Notamacropus eugenii: one gene and its partners. The protein of the gene in region 3 binds, or shares a complex with, the protein of the main gene of each other region. Links are inferred from orthologs where the notes say so. Each region holds a gene or a part of one and is shown on either strand. Other genes may lie near its edges.

The links. The genes of interacting proteins can lie anywhere in the genome.
Region 1: SMARCB1 (region 3) and DPF1 share a complex: the UniProt entries of both Homo sapiens proteins name them as parts of the neuron-specific chromatin remodeling complex. The link is inferred for Notamacropus eugenii from reciprocal best matches to the Homo sapiens genes SMARCB1 and DPF1.
Region 2: SMARCB1 (region 3) and SMARCD2 share a complex: the UniProt entries of both Homo sapiens proteins name them as parts of the BAF complex. The link is inferred for Notamacropus eugenii from reciprocal best matches to the Homo sapiens genes SMARCB1 and SMARCD2.

The regions. Positions count from the first base shown.
Region 1 is NC_092876.1:31,450,722-31,458,204, forward strand, and holds the start of DPF1 (zinc finger protein neuro-d4), read right to left. Parts: upstream 3,049-7,483; 5' UTR 2,837-3,048; intron 2,798-2,836; exon of another isoform or gene 2,604-2,797; 5' UTR 2,528-2,603; coding exon 2,443-2,527; intron 2,328-2,442; coding exon 2,166-2,327; intron 973-2,165; coding exon 845-972; intron 248-844; coding exon 158-247; intron 1-157. UniProt on the Homo sapiens protein: May have an important role in developing neurons by participating in regulation of cell survival, possibly as a neurospecific transcription factor. Belongs to the neuron-specific chromatin remodeling complex (nBAF complex).
Region 2 is NC_092873.1:343,810,304-343,818,057, reverse strand, and holds the start of SMARCD2 (SWI/SNF-related matrix-associated actin-dependent regulator of chromatin subfamily D member 2), read right to left. Parts: upstream 3,049-7,754; 5' UTR 2,851-3,048; coding exon 2,635-2,850; intron 1-2,634. UniProt on the Homo sapiens protein: Involved in transcriptional activation and repression of select genes by chromatin remodeling (alteration of DNA-nucleosome topology).
Region 3 is NC_092875.1:1,882,184-1,889,733, forward strand, and holds the start of SMARCB1 (SWI/SNF-related matrix-associated actin-dependent regulator of chromatin subfamily B member 1), read left to right. Parts: upstream 1-4,518; 5' UTR 4,519-4,651; coding exon 4,652-4,744; intron 4,745-7,550.

The sequences.
Region 1 (7,483 bases), on a different chromosome or scaffold from region 3:
AGACTATGGAAAATGGGCCAAGGGTAAAAAGACAGAGATGGGCTCAGCAGATAAGAGAATCTGGCTCTATGGGCGGCCCGGGGAGAAGCTGGGCTCAGGCCTGGGAGGGGAAGGGGGAGGGGGAGCAGGGGAGCAGGGGGAACCGGGCCCCAGCTACCTTCCCCTTGGCTTTGCTCTTTCGGCGAGGAATGTCGTCTTCCAGGTCCTCCACCTCAAGTTCATGGGGAAATTCTAACATCTGTTGCTTCTGGGCAGGAGGAAACACAAGTTTTCAGGGAAGGGATGCTTGCTGAGGCTTTAGGAGTGGGCAGCAGCATCAGGGATGGTGGAAGAGAGACCTCTAGCTGGGGCTGCCCCCGAGTTGGGTCTCCAAGGAGGGCAAGGGGCAAGAAAAGGACTCTGTTAGAGTGAGGGGGTGGGGAGGGAACCTTCCACACCAAAAAAAAACCCAACTCAGGGTGAGAATATAGGATAGAGAAGGCGCTGCAAGGCTGAAGGAACTAGGGGAAGGGGATTGATGTAGGAAGGCTGGGGAGGACAGAGAGGAGGGGACAAAGACTCAGAGGCACTCGAGTCTTAATTTCGAGAAGAGAGCCCCTGGGAGTGTGGAGACCTCTGAGACTGAAGGGTAGGCTAGGGATGCCAATTCCTTACAGATGTGGGGAGTCAAGGGAGTTTTTGGAGCAGGAGACAGACATGAGTGACACTCCCAAGTGTCATCTCAGGAGGATGGTCAGGGTGGCCTTCCTCATATGTGCTGGAGGGGAGAATGTGGCTATTCCAAAAGAAGTCTGGAGGAGGGATAGGGGCAGGGCTGGAGGGCAGGCCCCCCACCCCACCCCACCTGACAGTCCATGATGGTTTCTTCTTCCTTTAGTTCTATCTTCTTCTCTCCTGTCTCTGCACACAGTAGGGCCTCCAGGACTGGCCCTTCAGGGAGACCCCCTTCCTTCTTTAGGGGTGTTTCACAGTCTGAGGGAAGGGTGGAAAACAGGGAGGGTCAAAGAAATGTTGTTTGCCAAGGACCCCCTTCTGTCTCCTCTCTTTCTCTATCTTCTCCCTCTTCCTTTTCTCTCTCCTCTTTCTCCATCTCTTTCTCCCTCTCCCTTTCTCCCTCCTCCCTGTCTTTCTCTCACCCTCCTCTTTTCTTCCTCTGCCTCCCACCCTCTCACACACACATACACACATCTACCCAACCCCCAACCCACCCCATGGAGTCTCTCTAGACAGTATGACCTGAGTCCTGACCTAAAACACTGGGGCACTTTCTGAGATGCTCACAGCAGTGCATACTAAGTCTGGAACTAAGGCAGACATGCTCCCATGGGCCACCCCTTAGGGACATACTCTCAGAGACTCACTGAGGCCCTCAATTCTGAGTTCTCATACACTCAGTTGCCATCAGCCACACGGAGACACCATCACAAGCATGGCTTTGCACAGAGTACACATGTTTGCCGAATGCTTTCTCAGCATGTAGATTTCACCCTGCCAGACACCACACAGACACACAATCACACAGATACACATACAACCATGACACAAGCACCGAGACACACAATCATACACACAACCACACATAATCACACAGACACAATCACAGATACAATCACATACAACCACAGGCACAGACACAGCCATACACACATAACCACACAGATACACAATCACAAACTACCACAAGTCACACAATCACAACCACACACAGACACACAATCACAAATGCAACCACATTTGCACAACAGCTTCCATCTAGCTCTTGGAGATGTTTTACATACATTCTCTCATTGGAGCACCTCAAAATAACCTGTGGGGTACATGCTGTTTTACAACTGAGGAACTTGACTTGCCCAAGATCTCACCACAATTGTCTGAGGCAGGATCTGAATCCAGATCTTCCTGATTCCAACACTTTTAAGTCATTCTGATTCTTAGTCACAGTCAGGTGATAGGTTACCACACAGATAAAAGGGAACTCAGAGTACTTGAGTTCAAAACCTACCTCCCTCGGTGGCAAGGTCCCTAGGTCCCTGTCAGTCTCATTCTACGCTGTCTCTGACATCAATAACAATTTGCGCCCCGGGTGCCTCCCCCCCCCCAGACTCAATACCACCAACACAGGCCCCGGGGGCCGCACACGCTCAGACACAGGCTCAGGTGCTCACGCTGGGCCACGCTCACACTGGGGGCAGGGGCTGGGCTGGGGGCCCCCCACGGACCGATCTTGTACTCGCAGGGTCGCAGCCTGGGGTCCTCCAAGATGTTCAGTCTTCGCTTCTTCCTCCAGCAGCGGGCCGGATAGGTGTAGATCTGTCCAGGGGCCAGTCCTGGAGAGGAGAGGGGCAAAGGTGGGGAGACTGTTGAGGCATCTGCCCCCCTCCCCTTCCCCTTTCCTCCTCCCTCTCCCCATCCCTCCCAATCAGGCGCCGCCGCTTTCCTCACCGGGCCCGCGGTGGGTCTTCTCCATCCAGATGTAGCAGTTGTTTTGGGCCACCCCGGTCTGCGAGTCGAGGAAGGGCAAGCGCATGCTCCGCTCGGCGCACAGGCGCGCGTTGTAGCTGCGGCAGTGCTCGATGGCCTCGCGGTAGAAATCCTCGCCCAGGCTGCGGGGAGGCAAAGCAAGCAGGGTCAGCCGAGCAGACGCCTCTGGGTCTGAGCCTGGAGCCCTCGAACCTCTGGGAATGCCCCGGGACTTCGGGGGACGCCGGAACACCTGGGTCCGGCTCGAATGTTCGGGTGGACCCTGGGCCTCAGTTGGGTTGGGTTTAGGGAAGGCGCTGGGACACTGTGGCCCAGTCACTGGAGGGTCTGGGAGTCACTGAAACGTGGGAAGTACCGAAATCTCCGGGTCCAGAGTTTCTGGAGAAAGCTGGAACTTGGGGAGGGTGCTGGAACGTAGTGGGGGGAGGGGGGACTGAAAAGCAGGAGGTGCCAGAGAGTAGGCGCTGAAAAGCAGGGGCTTGGGCCTAGAACATCTGAATTGTGCTGGTGTGCGGGGAAGTGTCCTGGAACGTCGTGGTAGCCCTCAAACTTTGGGGAGTAGCTGGCATATTTGGATGGGAAAAAAAAGAGGAGGAGCTAAAGTCTGGGATGCCGCCGGGGCGGATGTTCAGTGGGCGGAGAGAGGGGTAGAGCCCTTCCCTCCCCTAACCAGGCTCAGACAGCTTGACCCTCTCTCCCCCGCGGCTGAGCGCTAGGTGGTGCCCACGCCCGCAGGCATCCCCGGCAGCGCGAATGTCCCGGGGTGGGGGTGGAGGGGGAGTGAGCGCCAGCACAGTCCCTCCCCCCACTTTAGTTCTTCTACAACGCCCCCCACAACACCATACACCCATATATTATACACCAGGTAGACTACCTCTACACTCCTTGGTGTACTACCCGGAGGACACAAAACCAGATACAGTTACCGCCCTCCCCCCACCCTAGCCTCACTTCCCCCCTCCCCCAGGTATGTCGAAATGGAAGGGATTTTGCAGATCAGCTAATCCGATCCCTTTGTCTACACAATCCCAAATACGGGTCAAGGGGGTCACCAAATTACACACTGACAGCAAAAGAAGACAATTCCTCTCCTTTGGAACGGAGACAGGTAGCGGAGGAATTCGCATCCCCATTAGACAGATGAGGACACTGAGGCTCCCCGAATGACAACCACACCAAAGGCCTTGTACACAGTAGGTGGTCGATAGGCGTTTGTGGAGTTGTTTTGGAATATAGATTAATACAATGCCACTTGAAGATTCACGGAAGACCAAACCACTGATAACACAATCCAAGACGAATGCACAAATCTCCGTTACACACACAGCAACACGAGACAAGCACACAATTACAGGAGACACAATCACAATTCCCCCCTACACACACACACACACACACACACACACACACAAAATCCCACTCCGAGACACACGCTCTGCAACCCCCGCCCTGTGGGATGGGATGGGGCGGAGGTGCCGGGCTCACCACCGGACTGGGCTGGGGTTGACCGTGGCCATCTTGCACCTGGCCCGACCCTCGCCCGGGTCACCTCAGAGCTTCGGGGTCTGCAGCGCCCTGGCCCTGGCGGCCACTCCATTCATTCTCAGGGTGGGGGTGGGGGCGGGGACATCAACCAACATGGGGGGGGAGAGGGACTCCCCGGGGCATGCTGGGAAATGTAGTGCGGGGGTGGCGGGGCGGAAGGTGGAGGAGGGGGTCGGTGCTGTCACTAGAGGCCAAATCTAGGTCTGGCCCCGGGAAGGAGAGGCCCTGGCAGCTCGTGGGGGAAGGGGACAGAGTGGTGTGAGGCCTGGGCCAGGTGAAAATCCGGAGACAGACTCCTATTTTGGCACTAACGTGGGCACTATGTGTAGTTAGACCGTGTGTGAACCACATATACCTTTACTTACACCCAGGTTCGGCTACCACACACAATCCACAAGTACACAACACGCAGTAAACACATAATACAGAAGCATACAACACAATTATGCTGATACAACTCTACACCACAAATTGACACCCAGATCACACTGACAACAGGCATACGCACTGGGATACAGAGACAACTGGACCCCACACACACGCACACCCGGAAAGGCCTCCTGATTCACATGCACAGACCCCCCCACACAATCACAGTCTCACACAGGAGCTTACAAGCAGCCGGGGCGCGCACAGACCCGCAGAGCGCGCACACAGGCCACACGTGCTGGCGCGTGCACGGTGGCCCCCCCCACCCCCCCCTTTGGTCGCCCGGCCCCTAGCTTCCAGATCTCGCAGAGACAGAGATAGAAAAGACAGGGATCAGAGACTTCCAGGAAACCCAGCAACCCCCAACCCTCCTGCTGCTTGCCCTCAGTCTCACGCGGCCTCGCTCTGACCCTCACACCCCTTCAACCCCAAGGTCAAGGCCAAGCTCACGGGGTGGGCCAGGAAGGGGGGCTGTCCCGGGGCCCCTTTGTGCGCCTCCGCGTCCCCGACAACTCACGGGCACGCGCCACTCCCCAGCCTCCTCCCCCTCTGTCGGGCACGCGCCTGTCACTCCTGGGGGAGGAGCCTGTGGAGCCAGGGAAAGGGGCGCCCCCGCCCCGTTATACTGGAGGGTCCACAGTGGGGGGGGACCCAGGCGGTTGCGGCTCCCAGTTCCCTTCCCCAGCCTTGGAGGCTGGCAGGTTAACAAGTCCCAGAACCAGTGCCTAGGGTTGGCGGGGATGGTGAACCCCCCCCTCCCAGCCTCCAGCAGATCCACTTCCCTTCCCGCCCCCAGCCCGGACCTGGGGATCTGCAAATTCCTGCACTGAGGGTGGCGACAATAGAGACGGCTTGGAAGGTGGAGGGGGGACAGGTTCAGCTGCCAAACGTGCCCATCCCCCGCCCCCTCCCAATAATCCCCAGCTCCTATCAAACCCAAGGCTTGGGGGATGCGGGGGGGAGGCGGAGGGCGCCCAGGTGTCAGTGGCACCCATCAATCTCCGGGAAGGGAAATGGGGCAGACACAAGGCTCCAGGGCTCCTGTCCCCTCTCTGCCCGCCGTGCCCAGCCCCGTGCCCGGTGGGAGGAGGGAGGGAGGGAGGGAGGATGGGATGGAAGGGGAGACTCACGACTTGAGGGGGTTCTGGATGGCGGTGGCCATGGCCCGCTCCCCTCCCCCGGCGCCGTAGCCACTCGGCCCTCGGGACCCGGCTCCGGCCCCCCGGGGCCCCGCGCTCCGCTGGCCGTGCCCGACCCCCGCCGCTGCTGCCGCTGCCACCGCCGCCGCCGCCGCCGCCGCCGCCGCCGCCGCCGCCTCCTCCTCCTGCTCCTGCTCCGCCGCCCAGCGCGCTACAATTTCATTCATTCTTCGGCTGCGGTGAGGGGAGGGGCGGGGCCGGGGGGCGGGGCCGCGACCAAGGAGGAGGGGGGAGGGGATCAGGGACTGAAGGGGGGCACGGGGGAGGGGGAAAGGGGTGGGCTGGGTCTGCCAATCCTCACACCTCCCGGGGGACGTTGGGAGATGGAGTCCTCTCAAACACCCGGGTGGGGAGGGGGCCAACCTGGGAGAACTCCAAATCCCGACTGCCCTGCGGGTTGCCCACTCCCCCAGGGCGCCGATTGGGCAGCCGAGGTACCGGGCGGGGAGTGCCGAAGGAGGCCGGAGCATCCTTTCCCTGGAGCTCTCCGTCAGGCACAACGTCCCCCTTCCGGCCAAGTCAGGCTACGTGGGGTAGAGGGAATGTATGGGAATCCTGTATCCCCAAGACCTATCCCCAGGAAACCCAGCTCTATAGGCATCCCCGCTCTGAGTTTATCACCCATACCTTATCCCCTAGTTCCTCCTTTCTGAAATTTCCTCCCAGCAGAGCAGCGGCCCGTGCCCGGGGCAGAGATTCAGCCCAGTGGAATGGAAGGGAGTGAAGAGCGCTGAGTTTGAAAGCAGAAGCCCTGGTTTGGAATTTCATCTCGGTTACTTACTCCCTGTGTGATCCTGGACACATTCTTTCTCTTCTCCCCCCCCCCCCCCCCATCAGTTCCCTCATCTGTAAAATGAAAGGGGTTTGAGTATCTAGATAATTCCTGATCTACTTGGAGATCATACCCCTCCTTCCCCCATACCTTGCTCCCTTAGGGAACACTCCAGAACCCAAAACTAAGTTGTGGGACTCACACTAAAGGGATGGAGAAGGTCCCCTAAGGTGAGAGTGGAAGCATGCCCCTGGGCCTGCCTCGAAACTGAACATCCTTAGCCTTTCTCAGACTTCAGGGCTTGTAACAGAATAGACCTCCGGCAGGGGGCGGTCCTGGGAGCTGTCCTCAGTACTGAATCGTCCGAAGCCTTGGAAGAATGACATAACCCTGAACATCTGAGCTGGTAAAGAGTACTTAAGGACCACCTATTCCAACACCTATTCCCCTGCCTAGTTCTCCAATTAAAGAGGGGGAATCGAAGTCCGGAGAGGGAAAACTTGATGCAGTAATAAGCCAAGACGAACTCCAAACTCCAAACCCTGGACTCTTTTCATTCCATCCCGAATCCTTTGCCAGGGAAAGTCTGGAGTCCCCAGGAGGGATTGAGGGAGGAAAAATGAGACAAATTCCCCCACACTGGCATTTGCACTGAGTTTAGTGGGACATCTGAGTCTATGGAGCCCAACTCTGTCAGTGGATTGATGAGGAAAGTGAACCCCACAGAGATCTTTGCCCAAAATCACAGGTTGAAGTAGGTCTCCTGAGACCTCAACCTTGGGCTCCTTGCTACATTAGATTTTCTAAGTGTGTTTCCATGTGCCTGTGTGTCTTTGTGTGTCCACCTCCTCAACCTATATGTGGATTTTTCATCTTAACCTTATATTCTCTCTAGATTCCCAAGGAGTTTAAGAAAGCCCCTTGGCCTGCTGCAGTGCCCAGAGGTCTCCCTCTCCAGAAGAATCCCAGAATTTTTTAGTTGTCAGGAAACTCAGAGTCCATCCTGATTCTGAGTTATCCCTAAACAAGCCACTCCTCTACATATCTAACCAGTGGT
Region 2 (7,754 bases), on a different chromosome or scaffold from region 3:
ACTATCAGAGATATATCACCTTCCTTGAACTGAAAATGAGCCAGAATCAAGAACTGGTTCAGCCCTTATCACTTAACAAGAATAAGGACTGAGACAAGACTGGCTGGTCAGGGGTAGAGAATGAAGCCCAGGAACAACATACCTCTGGACTGATGCTCCAAACAGTAACTTTGTAAGAGACAAAATGCACTTTAGTGATCCTGCATGTCATGTCTAACCAAAAAGGTCTCAGATGAAAGTGGAACAGACGTCACTGTCTTTAGGATACTACTGCTGAGCTGTCCAAATACCAACAGTCACTGAGAAGTTCCTCATTTTTCAACAGGCCCCCACTAACTCCTTCCTCAGTTTTCACCACAGACACTCACAGTCCCTATTCCCCTAGCTCATCTGACATTCCTAGTAGTACTGATACCGCATCACAAAGTTCTTTATCCCCTAGATATCGTGGTCTAGGCACAAGGAGGGCCAGTGGTCCAGAAAAATGTCCCCACCCGTCACTGCCTGCCAAATTCCCCTAGATCCAGATCTGCCCTTCCCTCAGGAGCAAGGGACCATTGATTCCCTAAAGTCTTGTGAACTAAATAGTCTGGCTGATTCTGTATTTGCCATGTTCAAGGCTATTTCCATGAATCCCATATTGGAGTAAACCCTTCCTACGGCTCCCAACAGTAGGAAGGAAGGGGAGGAGAGAAAGTTGAGAGGGAATATAATTCAATGCCATTTAATCATCTCAAAAAGGGAAGGGTTTAAAAAAAAAGTTTAGCCCTGAATCCATACTAGGCTTGAAGCTGCCTAGGATACTGGTAATTCATGTCAAAGATGATAGGCTCAAGGAACTGGTTTGTTTTTGGATCTTCCTGGAACCGTCTTGGCTCTAAAAGTCCTCATGAGCAAGGCAGGAGGTAGGAAAGATGGACCTGTTTCCCTCAAGGCCTTGAGACTAGGGTCAATATGGCTTATCATATCCAATCAACTGGGAAAGGTAAGAAGGGGGAAAATGCTATTAACAGTTATCATCTGAGAGTGCTAGCAGAATGCATAGGTGTTCCCCTACCTCTGTAAGCTGCTTTCCTTCTAATGCCCTCAGCCTGGAGGGAAAAGAGGAACAGAGCAACCAAAGACTTTGAGTGGATCAGCAAAGAAAATTCAATGCTAAGGTAGGTGGTTTAGTCTTCAGCATAGCCCAAAGTGGACGGAAATGAAATGTGTGTAGAGAACGAAGATAGGAGAGGATATGACTCTCCTAAGTATTCATAAACAATCTAAAACAACTAAGAGATTGGGGAACTGGGCTAAATAGGTGTGAAGTCCCCACTAACTAGAGCCCAGCACAAATCCCTGTCAGGTATTGCCTTCTAGGGGCAGAAGTAACTAACCTTTGACCTCTAGGATTGCCCAACTCCAAGCAACTCCAAGACCTGCACTCAACTGAGTCTCTCTGAACCCTCTTACTGCAATCAGTTCCCAGACACAATGACAGCGAAGTGCTGAGAATGCCTGCCTGTAACTATCCTGGAGCTGGGCTCTCATAGGCCCAGGCCTCCTTTCCCAAGGACTTATCCTGGTTACCTGGCTTAACTCAGCTATATCCCATTTCCTGAAAAACCCAACGGAGGAAACCCACTGGACCTCCTCTGGAGGTCCTGGTGCATGAGGAAGAGGTCCATTCAACTTAAATTCTAAGCTTCCCATCAGCACCACCTCTCCCTCCAAAAAAGCCACTGGGAGTTACATAAAACCATAACAGGCCAAGGCAAGATAAAACATTACCGGCTCATGGCTCCAGAAAACAGAAAACGCCTGAAACAAAATCTTCCTAGGAAACCTCACTCCTGCAATGGGGCTGCCATCCCCTACCCCTAAGTAATTCTACCCTCCCCTAGTTTGTCCATATCCCCCCAGAAACCCAGGATTCCTCTCTACCCATGGAAGGCCTCGGTGCTCTTTCTGCCTACAACAATCTCCACACTCCTTAGGGGCCTCCTTTTGTTCAGGAGCACCTCACACTTCTAGCCCTGACTGTCCCCACCTGCACCGACACCCCACCGCCCCATTTCCATTTCCACCTCCACACATGCCCTTTTACCCCACTCCTTTCATCAGCCAATGTGGCATTTCACTCTCAGGTGCTCAAACTAGCTTCCCTTTGCTCCACAACCTGGGGCAGGCTGGCCTTAGCACGAAGGCCCTACCCAGGTTCACACGTGCACCAAATCTCCCCCAACCCCCATTCCATACCCACCTGCCCTTCCCATAGGGCTTGGCCTGGGGATCAGAGGGCTTGGGTTCAGATTGGACACTTACTATCTATGTGACCTCAGCCAAGCGACTTAACCTCTTTGGACTCAGTTTCTTCCTCTGTAAAATGGGGGATTGAGGGATGCAGGCCTGGATGACCTCTGAGTTCCCTATGATGGTGCCCTTATCTTGGGAAGCCACTGGCCTGGGAAGCCCCGGACTTGGTGTTCTGTGTTCTAGGGCCGCCCCCCAACCCTAACTGTAGTTGGCCTTGACCCCTGGCTGGAGTGACCCTTGAACTTGGCACCGTGAGTCCCGCTTCCTCTGCCAGGCCCCTGCACCAGAGCCCCGGCGGGCCCCACGCCGCCCCAGCCCCGGCCCCCGGCCCCGCACCTGGTACTGCGCCGCGGGTCCCGTGGGCCCGATGGGGCGGAAGGCTGCGGCCCCGGGGCCCCCCGCGCCTCCTGCAGGCCCTGGGCCCCTCAACGCCGCTCCCGGCAGCATCCCGTGCCCCGCGGGGGGCGGGGGGGCCCCCAGGGCCGCCGCCACCGCCCCCCCTCCGGGGCTCAGCGGGGGCAGCGGGAACCCGCCCGCGCCGCGGCCCGACATCGTTCCGTCCCGTCTGGTCTCAGCCTCGATCCAGGTTCCGGGCTCCGCGCCCAAGGAACCCCCTCCGCGATCCGAGCTCCGGGGCTTCCGGGTCCGAGCTCCGAGCTTTACTGATCCAGGTTCCGGGATTTCCCGGTCTGGGACCCGAGATTTCCTGATCCGGCTTCTAAACTCTGCACTGATCCGGTATGGATCGGGTCAGTCCTAGCTCCGCTCCTGGGCTGGGAGGGGAGGAGGCGGAGAAATCCTGATCTGGGCTCGGTACTGCACCCACCCGCTGGAAGTTCAGCCCTCGGTGGAAGTGGGGGGGGGGGGGGGGGGGTGGAGAGTGGAGGAGGGGCAGCAATGTCCCCACTTCCCGCTGACAGCAACAAACTACTGACTCCGCCCAGCCCCCGACTAGGCCCCGCCTATACCTCATGTCTCACCCAATCCAGGGACACCCCTCAAATACCGCCCCTCGCGAGAACCGCCTCTAACTGCCGGCTTCCCTCCCTCCCTTGGCCAGAACCCCGCCTCCTTCCCCCCGCCCCCAACCGGGAGACCGCCGGAGGCATCTTCCTCCTCCTAGCTGTGCTCCCGCCCCCTGCAGGACAGGAGGAGGGGAAAAACCCGAGCAGACCCCGAAGCTATCGCGCACCTTCACCGCCTTCTGATCAACTCCTAGTAAATGTCACTGTCTTTAGCTTAAGGGCCGAGACCCGTGGGGGTGGCCGAGGGCAGGTTTCCCATTCATTCCCAGCCTGGGAGAGACAGCCCAGGCACCAAGGTCCCCGCCAAACCAGCCCATCCAGTCTCGGCAGGGCTGGAGGGGCTGCTGCGGGGGGCTGCTCTCCTTCCCCCACTTCCGCGTGCCCCCGCTGCCCATCTCTGCGTGACTGATTGCCTGTTCACATTAGATTAAGTCAGCGGGCATTTGCGCCCTTCCCATGGCCAGGCATTGTGCTACATCCCTGGGGCTACAAGTGCCCTCAAGGAACTTACTACATTTTAATGAATAATAATAATGCTGCCTTTAATATAGCACTCCGATGTGATCCTTCTAACCACCCGGGAGGTAAGTGCTTTTCATGACATCCCGTTACAGAAATAGGAAACTGAAGCAAACAAGTGAAGTGCCTTGCCCAGGGCCACTGAGCTACTGTGCGTTTGAGGCTGAATTTGAACTCAGGTCTCCATGACTCCAAGTCCAGCACTCTATTCATTGAGGCTCCTAACTGCCCTGCTTTTGTTTCTCTAACAGGGAAAGGAGTTTGAAGGGGTTGGGGGTGCCCAGGGGCTTGGGGTGGAGGAGTGGAGAAAGAGAATGAAAGTTGGCTGGTTGGTTTGAGTCTCTTCAAAATGGAGGTTCAAGAAGGAGTTAATGAGAGAAGGGGGCCCTTGGGACATGAGGGCGAGGTGGAGAAGTCTCTGGTCAGGGTCATTCCCCAAGATGGAGATTCCAGAAGGAACTCACCTCTTGTTCTAATCCTGGCTCTAACCCTGCTTGGCAGAGAATTATTGGCAGCCTGAATTGCTTCAAAGCAGGATTCCTTCACACACACAAGAAGACAACTTCTGACATGCATTGTAAAGGGTGTTGGTGGAAGAAGCATCTCATCAATCTTCCCTTACGGCATTTAAAGTAATTTGATTTTCATGGGGTAGCAAAGAACTGGAAACCACGTTTTGACTGGGGAAGGTTCCACAAATTGTAGTGGGTGAATATACTGGAATTGCATTGTGCTGTGGGAAACCTATGGTTGTGATGAATACATAGAAGCATGAAAAGACTTCCATGAACTGATGCAAAGTGAAGTAAGCAGAGGTTGGAAAACAAAATGCACAGTGACTGCAACCATATAGATAGAAAAGAAAATGTAGCTTCCTTTTGTGTAGACTTTCCCCCATTAGATTATAAGCTCCTAGAGAGCAGACACTGATTTTCCTGTTTGTATCCCCAGCGCTTGGCATAGTGCCTGGCACAGAAGATGCTTAATAAATGTTCATTGACTCACTAACTGGTTCAGTATCTAGGTACCTGTTCTTTTCATTGTTTTAATCTAAACATGAACTTGGTGCACATGCCAGCTTTGTCACTTTCTATCCGTGTGACTTTGATTAGTTATTTAACCTTAGCTTCCTCATCTATATAATAAGTGGACTGGACTAGATAACTCTTTTTTTATAAAGTCATACAAAACATTTTCGTATTACTCATGGAGTGAAAATAATCTGCTTCCATCAGTTCTCTATCTGGAGGCGGACAGAATTTTTCACTGGTTAACTTTAAAAGTCTAAATCTGTTCTGGATGGCGTACAGCTCTAAATCTATGCCCGTGTGATCTCCCACTGGGGTGATTCTTGTTCCTCTGTATTACCTTTTTCCTACAATTCTTTGGTACTTTTCACAAACTGCTTGGCTGAACAGAAACTGCTGGTTTCCCCTCCTCCCAAGAGCTAATCCATCTTAGTACTTGTTTGGCTTCTTATATTCCTCTGGTAGATTGCTGATCGGCAGCCTTCTTTCTGAGAAGTTGTCAAAGGCCTTCTTCCTCATCCTCAGTCTTTACCCAAAATCCATCCTTCTATGAGAGAAAAGGGTTAATGTGACCACAAGACATGAGTAAAATCTTTTAACTTTTATTTGTTCCTTATTTTACACTTCTAGAAAAAGAAGAATGACAACTTTTACCCCAGTATTCTATGGTTTGACAATTAATAAAATAAGACCATAGATTAAATTCCTCAGTTCAGATACCATTTCTGTTTCTTTAAGATATAAATGGTCAATTCTGAGCTCTTTCTTTTCTGAATTCTGGGTGAATTTATCGAATAGTTTTATGACTTCTTGGATTCAAAAGTTCCTTTCAACAATACAGATTGCAACCCGTCCATGAACATCTTGTGAGATTTTTGCTGCCCCCATGTTTCCCAGAATGTGCTCTGTGCATATTTGTCCTAGAGGCTTTATTTTATTTTTCCTATGGCATTCTGGGGAGAAAGGAGGGCAAATGAAGATAGAGATAGGATGACCAAAAGAACAAAAAACCAAGATAAAAGCCACTGAGGCTTTTTTTTTTTTTCAAAAATGGAGAGAAAAGAAGGCAGGCTGAAAAGAAGACCGGACAAGTAGGGCAGCTTTGAAAGGTGCTGGGTGAAGTTATATATTTTAGAAGAAAAATAGGCAGTTTATAAGAGAGATCTGCAGTTTCGTGTGCAGCCTGAGTTTTTGAGTATGGCCAGTTTTAACATGGAGTGTGCCTTTGAATATGCCCAAGCTATCTAACATGGAATTCCACCTGGGTGGAGTAATCTTCTTACCTGAGTCTAAAATGGTGAGAGGAACAGACCAGGTTCTCCTCCACCATTTTTCTGTGGTGCTCTTTTCATAAAGTAAACCCATGACCCAGCTTGGAGAAATGGTCTTGAGCATGTTGGTTTCTGTTCTGTTATTCTCAGTTTCAGGTACCTGTCAGAGGTGATTCTCTGGGCCTCTGAGTGCCAGTCATGGTGCCTTGGGAGCCAGGGTTGCAGGTGGGGTGAAGCAGACTGGCAGGGAAACCCCAAGAGTCATGATGCCTGGGCTTCTGACCCACAGGAGGGTATTGGACTTGGAACTGGCACTGTCTTTCATTGGAACTGAGTTAAGCTGTGAACCTAATCCCCTTCCTCTCCCTACAGACTGAGGTGGCCTAGGGGAGGAGGAGGATTGTGCCTTTCACATGTTCTGGGGGAGTATGTTTGTCTGTTTTTGATTATCTTCTGAAGCAAATATTCCTTTGTAAAAGTTTCACATCTTTTTCTTTTCTACTGTATAGATGGGAAATACCGATTTTGTTTGATGTTTAAGTTCAGAGTAAAATTTTAATTTTTTAAAAAATGTTTTCCACAGAAGATGCTCCCAGTATTTAGGTGACACAATGGATAGAGCCAGGAATCAGGAAGTTCTGACTGTTACTAACCATGTGACTGTGGGCAAGTCACTTATCTCTGCCTTAGTTTCCTCAACTGTAAAATGGGCATAATAACTACCTACCTTGTAGAGTTGTTGTGAGACTCAAAGGAGATAATATTTGCTTAAGTCAGTGCCTGGCACATAGTAGGCACTTAATAAATGCTTATTTCCCTTCCCCCTTCCCTTCACTTCCTTTTTCCCTTCCCTTCCTGTTTGGGTTCAGTCAAAGGGCCACACTTGAGCACCTCAAGGGCCACATATGGCCTCGAGGTCTCAGATTCCTCACACTTGCTCTATGAAATACTCAATTTTTAGTTATTCAGAGGCAATTATATTCCATGTCTCAATGTCATATATCATTGGTTATTAACCAGGGGGCTATGGGCCTGTTTCTAAAAAGTTTTGATATCTGTATTTCAATATCATTAATTTCCTGTATAATTCTATGTATTTATTTTGTGTATTTAAAAACATAATTCTGAGAACGGGCCCATGGGCTTCACCAGACTGTGACTGGCCTATGACTCAAAAAGAAAGAAAGCTGCTGCCATTTGACAATATTTATAGAGTGTTAGTTCTGTGTGATGCTGGCATGTGCATAGAGTTCTCTGTTCATGGGCATGCTCAGCTGATGAAAAGTTCCCAGTTCTTTCCCTCCCTCCAGCCTCTCCCCACCCATTGAGAAGGCAAAGAATATGCTATCAATTACACATGTGAAGTCAAGCCAAACATACTTAAGAATGGAAATTCTTAACAATTTTGAGTCTTGGATCCACTGAATCTTTCTGCCTTTCCACCATCCAAATAACTTTTTGGTTAGTTCCAGAGTTGAAAATCACTGCTAGCTGAGATATAAGACTGGATATACTGAGCTAGACCTTTGTGGAGGGCGTTCCTAATGCCACATATTTAACATTTGTTGTTGTTCAGTCGTGTCTGACTCTTCATGGCCCCATTTAGGGTTTTT
Region 3 (7,550 bases):
TGAGACTGAGAATTTCAAGGTCATTTAGTGCAGCCCCCAGAGAGAGGCAGGGACTTACAATCACACAGTAAGTTGGTTAGTCCTTTTAGCGTAAAGGTTTTTGTCACAACAGTCCTACAAGTCTGTGGTTGTGGGGTCAGCCCCCTTTCACTAGGGGCAAACAAAGCTTGGTAGAGGCCGGGAAGGCCTTGCTCAGGGATGTGGGGCAATGAAGACTCAAGGGTAGGAGTCAGGGTTCGAACAGCATAGATGACAGTCTGGATCCCAATGTAAAATCCTTCACATGGGTCCAAAAAACCAAGATCCCAAACACAGGCTGGAGAAGTGTGGCCAAGGAGTCAATTGTCCACAGATTTTCCTGGCTACTGTGAGCCTCTACAGTCTGGGGTCAGACACGGAGGAGGTAACTGCTAGTTCCCACCCATCAGACACAGGCCCATGGAAGCCAATGACAGGTAGTGCTGCTGAGGGCAGGAGCGGCTGCATTAATGATTGTAGGGAGGCCTGGAGAGAGAGGTCTTTGGACTGAGCCATCATGGAGATCTTCAGTAATCTTGGAGGTGTGGGGAACTGAGCGATGAAGGCAGTCACCTTCCCAGAGTCTGGTGGTAATAAGGAGGCGGGTCCATGAGGAGGCTTTAAATCTGGGGAGTGAGGGGCCTCAGGGGCAACAGGGAAAGAACCAACCGATGGAGATGGGAGATAAGGAAGTGAGAAAAGGCATGACCTTGAGGAGGCAGCAGCAGGGCTATGTCATGGAAGTTGGAGGCATGAGGAAGAATGCAGATCAATGGTGATGGGCCAGGAGGTCCAGAGCCTGGCGCAGACAGCTCTTGGCATATGGCATCTCCCAAAAGTAGAAGGGGAGATCCCCAGCGGGAAGGAAGGGGCTTGGTGGCCCAGGCAGGAGCCCCAAACAGGTGAGATAACAATCCCCCAGTGGGGGGGGGGGTGTCCATTCAGCCTGCCTCCAGCAGCACCAACATCAGAGCAGAGGAAGTCTGGCTTGGGCAAGGTGGGGGATTGGCCAGGTGGACTTGATGAGAGGACAAGGAACAAGATGCTGGTACAGGGAGGGCAGTGTACGAGTCATACAACCCATTAAGAGGTCAGGCTTCAGGGGTGACTGTGCCAGGTACCACCCTGGACATTGAGGTTACACAGGCAGAAATGTCACTGGGCTCGTGTTTGATCTGGAAGGATGATGTGCACTCAAAATACCAACTATGCCGAAGGAGTGGAGATCTCGTTAATGTGAAGACCCTCTGATGAGACAGGCTGAAGCCAAAGAGGGATCTGATGTGCTGGCTGCCTTCTCCTACTTCTCCTGACCTTGGGAGGAACCAGTGGAGCTGGCTGGTATTGACATGTCCTCCTGCCCTTGTGGAAGCAGCCAGGCTTCTCCTCTGGCAGCCATTGCCTTTAACTCCCATTGTCCTCCCTTGGCTCTCCTCACTGGCACCATGTGGCAGCTGGCTCATGCCCAGCATGCACTTACCCACCCATTGGTGCTCTCAGTGTAACATGGGAGAAGAGCTTGGCCAGACCATGAGAGACAGCTGCTGCTGTCTGTGTAGTCAGCTCATCAAAGGCTCAGCAGAGGAGTGAAAAACTGTAGAAAAAGGAAATGTGGTGGGCCTGGAAGCACGGAACAAGTGATTGAAATGAAAGATGGCCACTGGGAAGGCCATTGACACTGATGATAATTTCATTCAGAAATCTGAGCAGTAATGGATTTTGAATAGCATTTCCGGATCGCCTGACGTTGAACAAAGCACTTCACAAATATGATCTCATCTGATCCTTCCAATGCTTGTTTTACAAGTGAGCTTGCTGTTTGCCCTTCCTTTTCCAGGAATGTGATGCCATGATGTGCAAGTGAATTGGATTTGTGAAGTAGGGCTGGGCAAAATCACCAGCCTCACTTTCTCCTCTGGAGGCATCCGGGTCAACTGCAGATGGCCCAGGGTGCAGTGGAAGATCCTGACCTTTAAAAGTAAGGTCTTAAAAGAGGTCTCAGTTTGACTGAGGCAATCCCAATCAATGATTAAGGTTAGGTAAGAAATGAGGCAGAGAATGGCCTCTTAAAAAAAAAAAAAAAGATTGGGGAGGGGAGGGGAAGACCCTCAGGGTTTCCGGCCAAAACAGTAACAGTTGCTATTTACGTTCACTCTGAGCCAATCAGGAGCCAAAATAATGACCAAGTAGGGATTGACCTGGGACCTGTTGTTGATCAATACATGAGAGCCCGAGTGATGTGGTCTTTAAGAGAAAAGAATAAAAATGTTTCAGAGATTAAACATTTCCATCTCTCTGAGCAGAGCACCCACAGGTAAGGTTGAGATACTCTGAGTGGACTGGGAAAGAGAAAGAAGAGGGGAGGGAGGGAGAGAGAAAAAGACATGGAGAGAAAGAGGAGAGAGAGACAGACAGACAGAGAGAGACAGAGAGTGAGAGAGACAGAGAGAGAGTGAGACAGACAGACAGAGAGACAGAGAGAAAGAAAGAGACAGAGAGATGGAGAGAGAGACAAAGAGAGAGAGTGAGAGACAGAAAGAGTGAGACAGAGACAGAGAGAGAGAGACAGAGAGATGGAGAGAGACAAAGAGAGAGAGTGAGAGACAGAGAGAGAGTGAGAAACAAAGAGTGAGAGAGACAGAGAGAGACAGAGAGACAGAGAGACAGAGAGAGAGTGAGAGACAGAAAGAGTGAGAGAGACAGAGAGAGTGAGACAGAGACAGAGAGAGAGACAGAGAGAGAAAGAGACAGAGAGATGGAGAGAGAGAGACAAAGAGTGAGAGTGAGAGACAGAGAGAGAGTGAGAGACAGAAAGAGTTAGAGAGAGAGTGAGTGAGAGACAGAAAGAGAGAGACAGAGAGTGAGACAGAGAGATGGGGAGAGACAGACAAAGAGAGAGAGTGAGAGACAGAGAGAGAGTGAGAGTGAGAGACAGAAAGAGTGAGAGAGAAAGAGAGTGAGACAGAGACAGAGAGAGACAGACAGACAGAGAGAGACAGAGAGAGAGAGAGAAAGAGACAGAGAGATGGAGAGAGACAAAGAGAGAGTGAGAGACAGAGAGAGAGAAAGAGACAGAGAGATGGAGAGAGACAAAGAGAGAGTGAGAGACAGAGAGAGAGTGAGAGTGAGAGACAGAAAGAGTGAGACAGAGAGTGAGACAGAGACAGAGAGAGACAGACAGACAGAGAGACAGAGAGAGAGAGAAAGAGACAGAGAGATGGAGAGAGACAAAGAGAGAGAGTGAGAGACAGAGAGTGAGAGTGAGAGACAGAAAGAGTGAGAGAGAGCTAATAAGAAAGAAGGAAGAAAGGAAGGTCTGAGGCTGGATGTGAACAAATGAATGTGAGTGTTCTCCATACCAGTGCAGTGCTCTGATACCTGCGAAGCCACTTACATAGCTGCCCCAAACAGAAAATCATCTTGGAAAATTCCTTTTAGGAGAGATGATAGGCAGTTATGAGAATATTGTCTCATAAAGAATGAGAAGACTGGAAGTTAAAATGAGTTGAAACGAAGCATGATGAGATTGCCTAAGCAAGTCACCCCAGTATTCCAGGATGAATGTGGGAGGAGTACAAGAATCTGAAGAAAAATGGGAAAAAATTGCAAAAATCATCATTGCAAACAGCTGGGGACCTCCGAGTCACTGGGTCTACGTGGCCTAGCCTCAGCGTGGCCATTGCGCACTGTTCTCTGAGGGGGGGATCCAGGGGCCACACTGGAGGCTTCTGGTCATCCAGGAGCCAGTTTCCATTCTCTCCCTTTCATCTTCCTCCCTCTTGAACACAGCGGGGATCTCTCTCCCACTTCCTCTCCTTCTTTCTTTCCTTTCTCCCTTCCCCTCCCCTCCCCTTCCTTCTCCCCCTCCCTCTCATTCTCTCCTCTCCTCCCATCATTCGTGACAGCTGTCCACTCGTGGCTGCTTCCAGGCTGGAAAGGCCCCCCAGGCACAGGCACCCAGGATGCCTGGAGAGCCTGACTCCGGCGGGGGTATGGGAAGGACCCCTCTGTCAGCACCCAACGAGACCCAGACACCATTGTTTGCGCCGGGCCTGGCTGCGAGGAAGAGGGATGCGGGGAGGGAAGCAATGTGTCCACAGCCTGTTCGAAGGCCGCTGCGGGGACGGGTCCTCGAGCCTCTAAGGCCCCCACGTGGTCACTGGGGCGGGGCCACGCCCAGTTGTTTTGTACTTGCCCTGGGCAGGAGGAGGCCGGGGGCGGGGCTAGGGGAGGCGGGGCGAGGGGGCCGCGCCCGGTTCTTTTGTCCGAGTCCGGACTGGAGGCTGGGGGCGGGGTTGGAGGCGGGGTTGAGGGCGGGCCCGGCTCTTTGTCTGCACCGCCCCGGGAGGACGCACAACCGACGCACACCCGGCGCGAGCACGGAGGAGGCGCGTAGACGTCGGCACGTACGGACGCGGTCCGCGCGGAAGCAGCGCGCAGGCGCCGGCGGCTCGAGGAGAGGCGCGCACGCGCACGCTTCCCCGCCGCCGCCGTCGGCCCCGCGCGCGCTTGCGCAGTGAGCGGCGCGGCCTGGCCTGGAGGGTGTGGGCGGCGGCTGAGGCGGCCGGGGGTCCGAGCGGGCGACGGTGGGCGGCTGGACGGCCTGGGTCCGTGGGGACCGGGCCTCGGCGCGATGATGATGATGGCTCTGAGCAAGACGTTCGGCCAGAAGCCGGTGAAGTTCCAGCTGGAGGAGGACGGCGAGTTCTACATGATCGGGTCCGAGGTGAGGATGAGCCCCGGGGTCCCAGTGGGCCCCGGCGGGGAGGGGGAGGAAGGGGCCAGGGCCACGTGGCTGACTCCGAGGCGGGGGTGGAGGAGGAGAGGAGCCCCACGATTTGGGGGGACTCGGGGCCGACCGGAGGGGGGTATGTGGGGAGAGTGGGAGGGGGAAGAGCGTTCTGGAAACGGTCCCTGCGCCCGCATGCAGTGGGCGCTTAATCAGTGCTCGCCGGTGTGGGGGGGCGACCAGCCCTGGCCGGATGACTGAGGGCGGGGGAGGGGAGAGAAGAGGGACGGGGGGAGGGGGGGAAGCGCCCCTCTCCGAGCTCTTCCTGGCCCCCGCCTCTGTCTCCGTCTCCGTCTCTTGTCTCCATCTCTGCCTCTGTCTCTTGTCTCTCTCTTGTCTCTGTCTCTGGTCTCCATGTCTGTCTCTGTCTCTTGTCTCTCTCTTGTCTCTGTCTCTGTCTCTTGTCTCCATGTCTGTCTCTGTCTCTTGTCTCTCTCTTATCTCCGTCTCTGTCTCCGTCTCCTGTCTCTTGTCTCTGTCTCTGTCTCTTGTCTCTGTCTCCGTCTGTTGTCTCTGTCTCCGTCTCCGTCTCTTGTCTCTGTCTCCGTCTCTTGTCTCCGTCTCCGCCTCCTGTCTCCGTCTCCGTCTCTTGTCTCTGTCTCCGTCTCTGGTCTCTCTCTTATCTCCGCCTCTCTCTTGTCTCCATCTCTGTCTCTTGTCTCTCTCTTATCTCCGTCTCTGTCTCCGTCTCCTGTCTCTTGTCTCCATCTCCGTCTCTTGTCTCCGTGTCTGTCTCTGTCTCCTTCTCTTGTCTCCGTGTCTGTCTCTGTCTCCGTCTCTTTTCTCCATCTCTGTCTCTTGTCTCTGTCTCTTGTCTCCGTCTCCGTCTCTTGTCTCCGTCTCCGTCTCTTGTTTCCGTCTCTTGTCTCTGTCTCGTCTGTTTCTGTCTCCGTCTCTTGTCTCCATCTCCGTCTCTTGTCTCTTGTCTCCGTCTCCGTCTCTTGTCTCCGTCTCTTGTCTCCGTCTCCGTGTCTGTCTCTGTCTCTGTCTCCATCTCTTGTCTCCATCTCTGTCTTTTGTCTCCGTCTCTGTCTTTTGTCTCCGTCTCTGTCTCCGTCTCCGTCTCTTGTCTCCATCTCTGCCTCTGCCTCTGTCTCTTGTCTCTCTCTTGTCTCTGTCTCTGTCTCTTGTCTCCATGTCTGTCTCTGTCTCTTGTCTCTCTCTTATCTCCGTCTCTGTCTCCGTCTCCTGTCTCTTGTCTCTGTCTCCGTCTCTGTCTCCGTCTCCTGTCTCTTGTCTCTGTCTCCGTCTCTTGTCTCCGCCTCTGTCTCTTGTTTCTGTCTCTTGTCTCTGTCTCCGTCTCTTGTCTGTTTCTGTCTCCGTCTCTTGTCTCCATCTCCGTCTCTTGTCTCTTGTCTCCGTCTCCTGTCTCCGTCTCCGTCTCCTGTCTCCGTCTCCGTCTCTTGTTTCCGTCTCTTGTCTCCGTCTCCGTGTCTGTCTCTGTCTCTGTCTCCATCTCCATCTCTTGTCTCCATCTCTGTCTTTTGTCTCCGTCTCTTGTCTCCATCTCCATCTCTTGTCTCCATCTCTGCCTCTGCCTCTGTCTCTTGTCTCTCTCTTGTCTCTGTCTCTGTCTCTTGTCTCCATGTCTGTCTCTGACTCTTGTCTCTCTCTTATCTCCGTCTCTGTCTCCGTCTCCTGTCTCTTGTCTCTGTCTCTGTCTCTTGTCTCTGTCTCTGTCTCTTGTCTCCATGTCTGTCTCTGACTCTTGTCTCTCTCTTATCTCCGTCTCTGTCTCCGTCTCCTGTCTCTTGTCTCTGTCTCTGTCTCTTGTCTCTGTCTCCGTCTCTTGTCTCTGTCTCCGTCTCTTGTCTCTGTCTCCGTCTCTTGTCTCTGTCTCCGTCTCCGTCTCTTGTCTCCGTCTCCGTCTCTTGTCTCCGTCTCCGTCTCTTGTCTCTGTCTCTGTCTCTGTCTCTGGTCTCTCTCTTATCTCCGCCTCTCTGTCTCTTGTCTCCATCTCTGTCTCTGTCTCTTGTCTCCGTCTCTGTCTCTGGTCTCTCTCTTATCTCCGCCTCTCTGTCTCTTGTCTCCATCTCTGTCTCTGTCTCTTGTCTCTCTCTTATCTCCGTCTCTGTCTCCATCTCCTGTCTCTTGTCTCCGTCTCCGTCTCTTGTCTCCGTGTCTGTCTCTGTCTCTGTCTCTTGTCTCCGTGTCTGTCTCTGTCTCTTTTCTCCATCTCTGTCTCTTGTCTCTGTCTCTTGTCTCCGTCTCTTGTCTCCGTCTCCGTCTCTTGTTTCCGTCTCTTGTCTCTGTCTCCGTCTCTTGTCTGTTTCTGTCTCCGTCTCTTGTCTCCATCTCCGTCTCTTGTCTCTTGTCTCCGTCTCCTGTGTCCGTCTCCGTCTCCGTCTCCTGTCTCCGTCTCCGTCTCCGTCTCTTGTCTCCGTCTCTTGTCTCCGTCTCCGTGTCTGTCTCTGTCTCCGTCTCCATCTCTTGTCTCCATCTCTTTCTTTTGTCTCCGTCTCTGTCTTTTGTCTCTGTCTCTTGTCTCTGTCTCCGTCTCTTGTCTGTTTCTGTCTCTGTCTCTTGTCTCTGTCTCTTGTCTGTCTCTGACTCCATCTCTTGTCTCTGTCTCCGTCTCTTGTCTGTTTCTGTCTCTGTCGCTTGTTTCTGTCTCTGTCTCTTGTCTGTCTCTGTCTCCGTCTTTTGTCTCTTGTCTGTCTCTGTCTCCGTCTCCATCTCTGTCTCCGTCTCCATCTCTGTCTCCATCTATGTCTCCCCTCCCCCTCCATCTCCTCTCTGACTC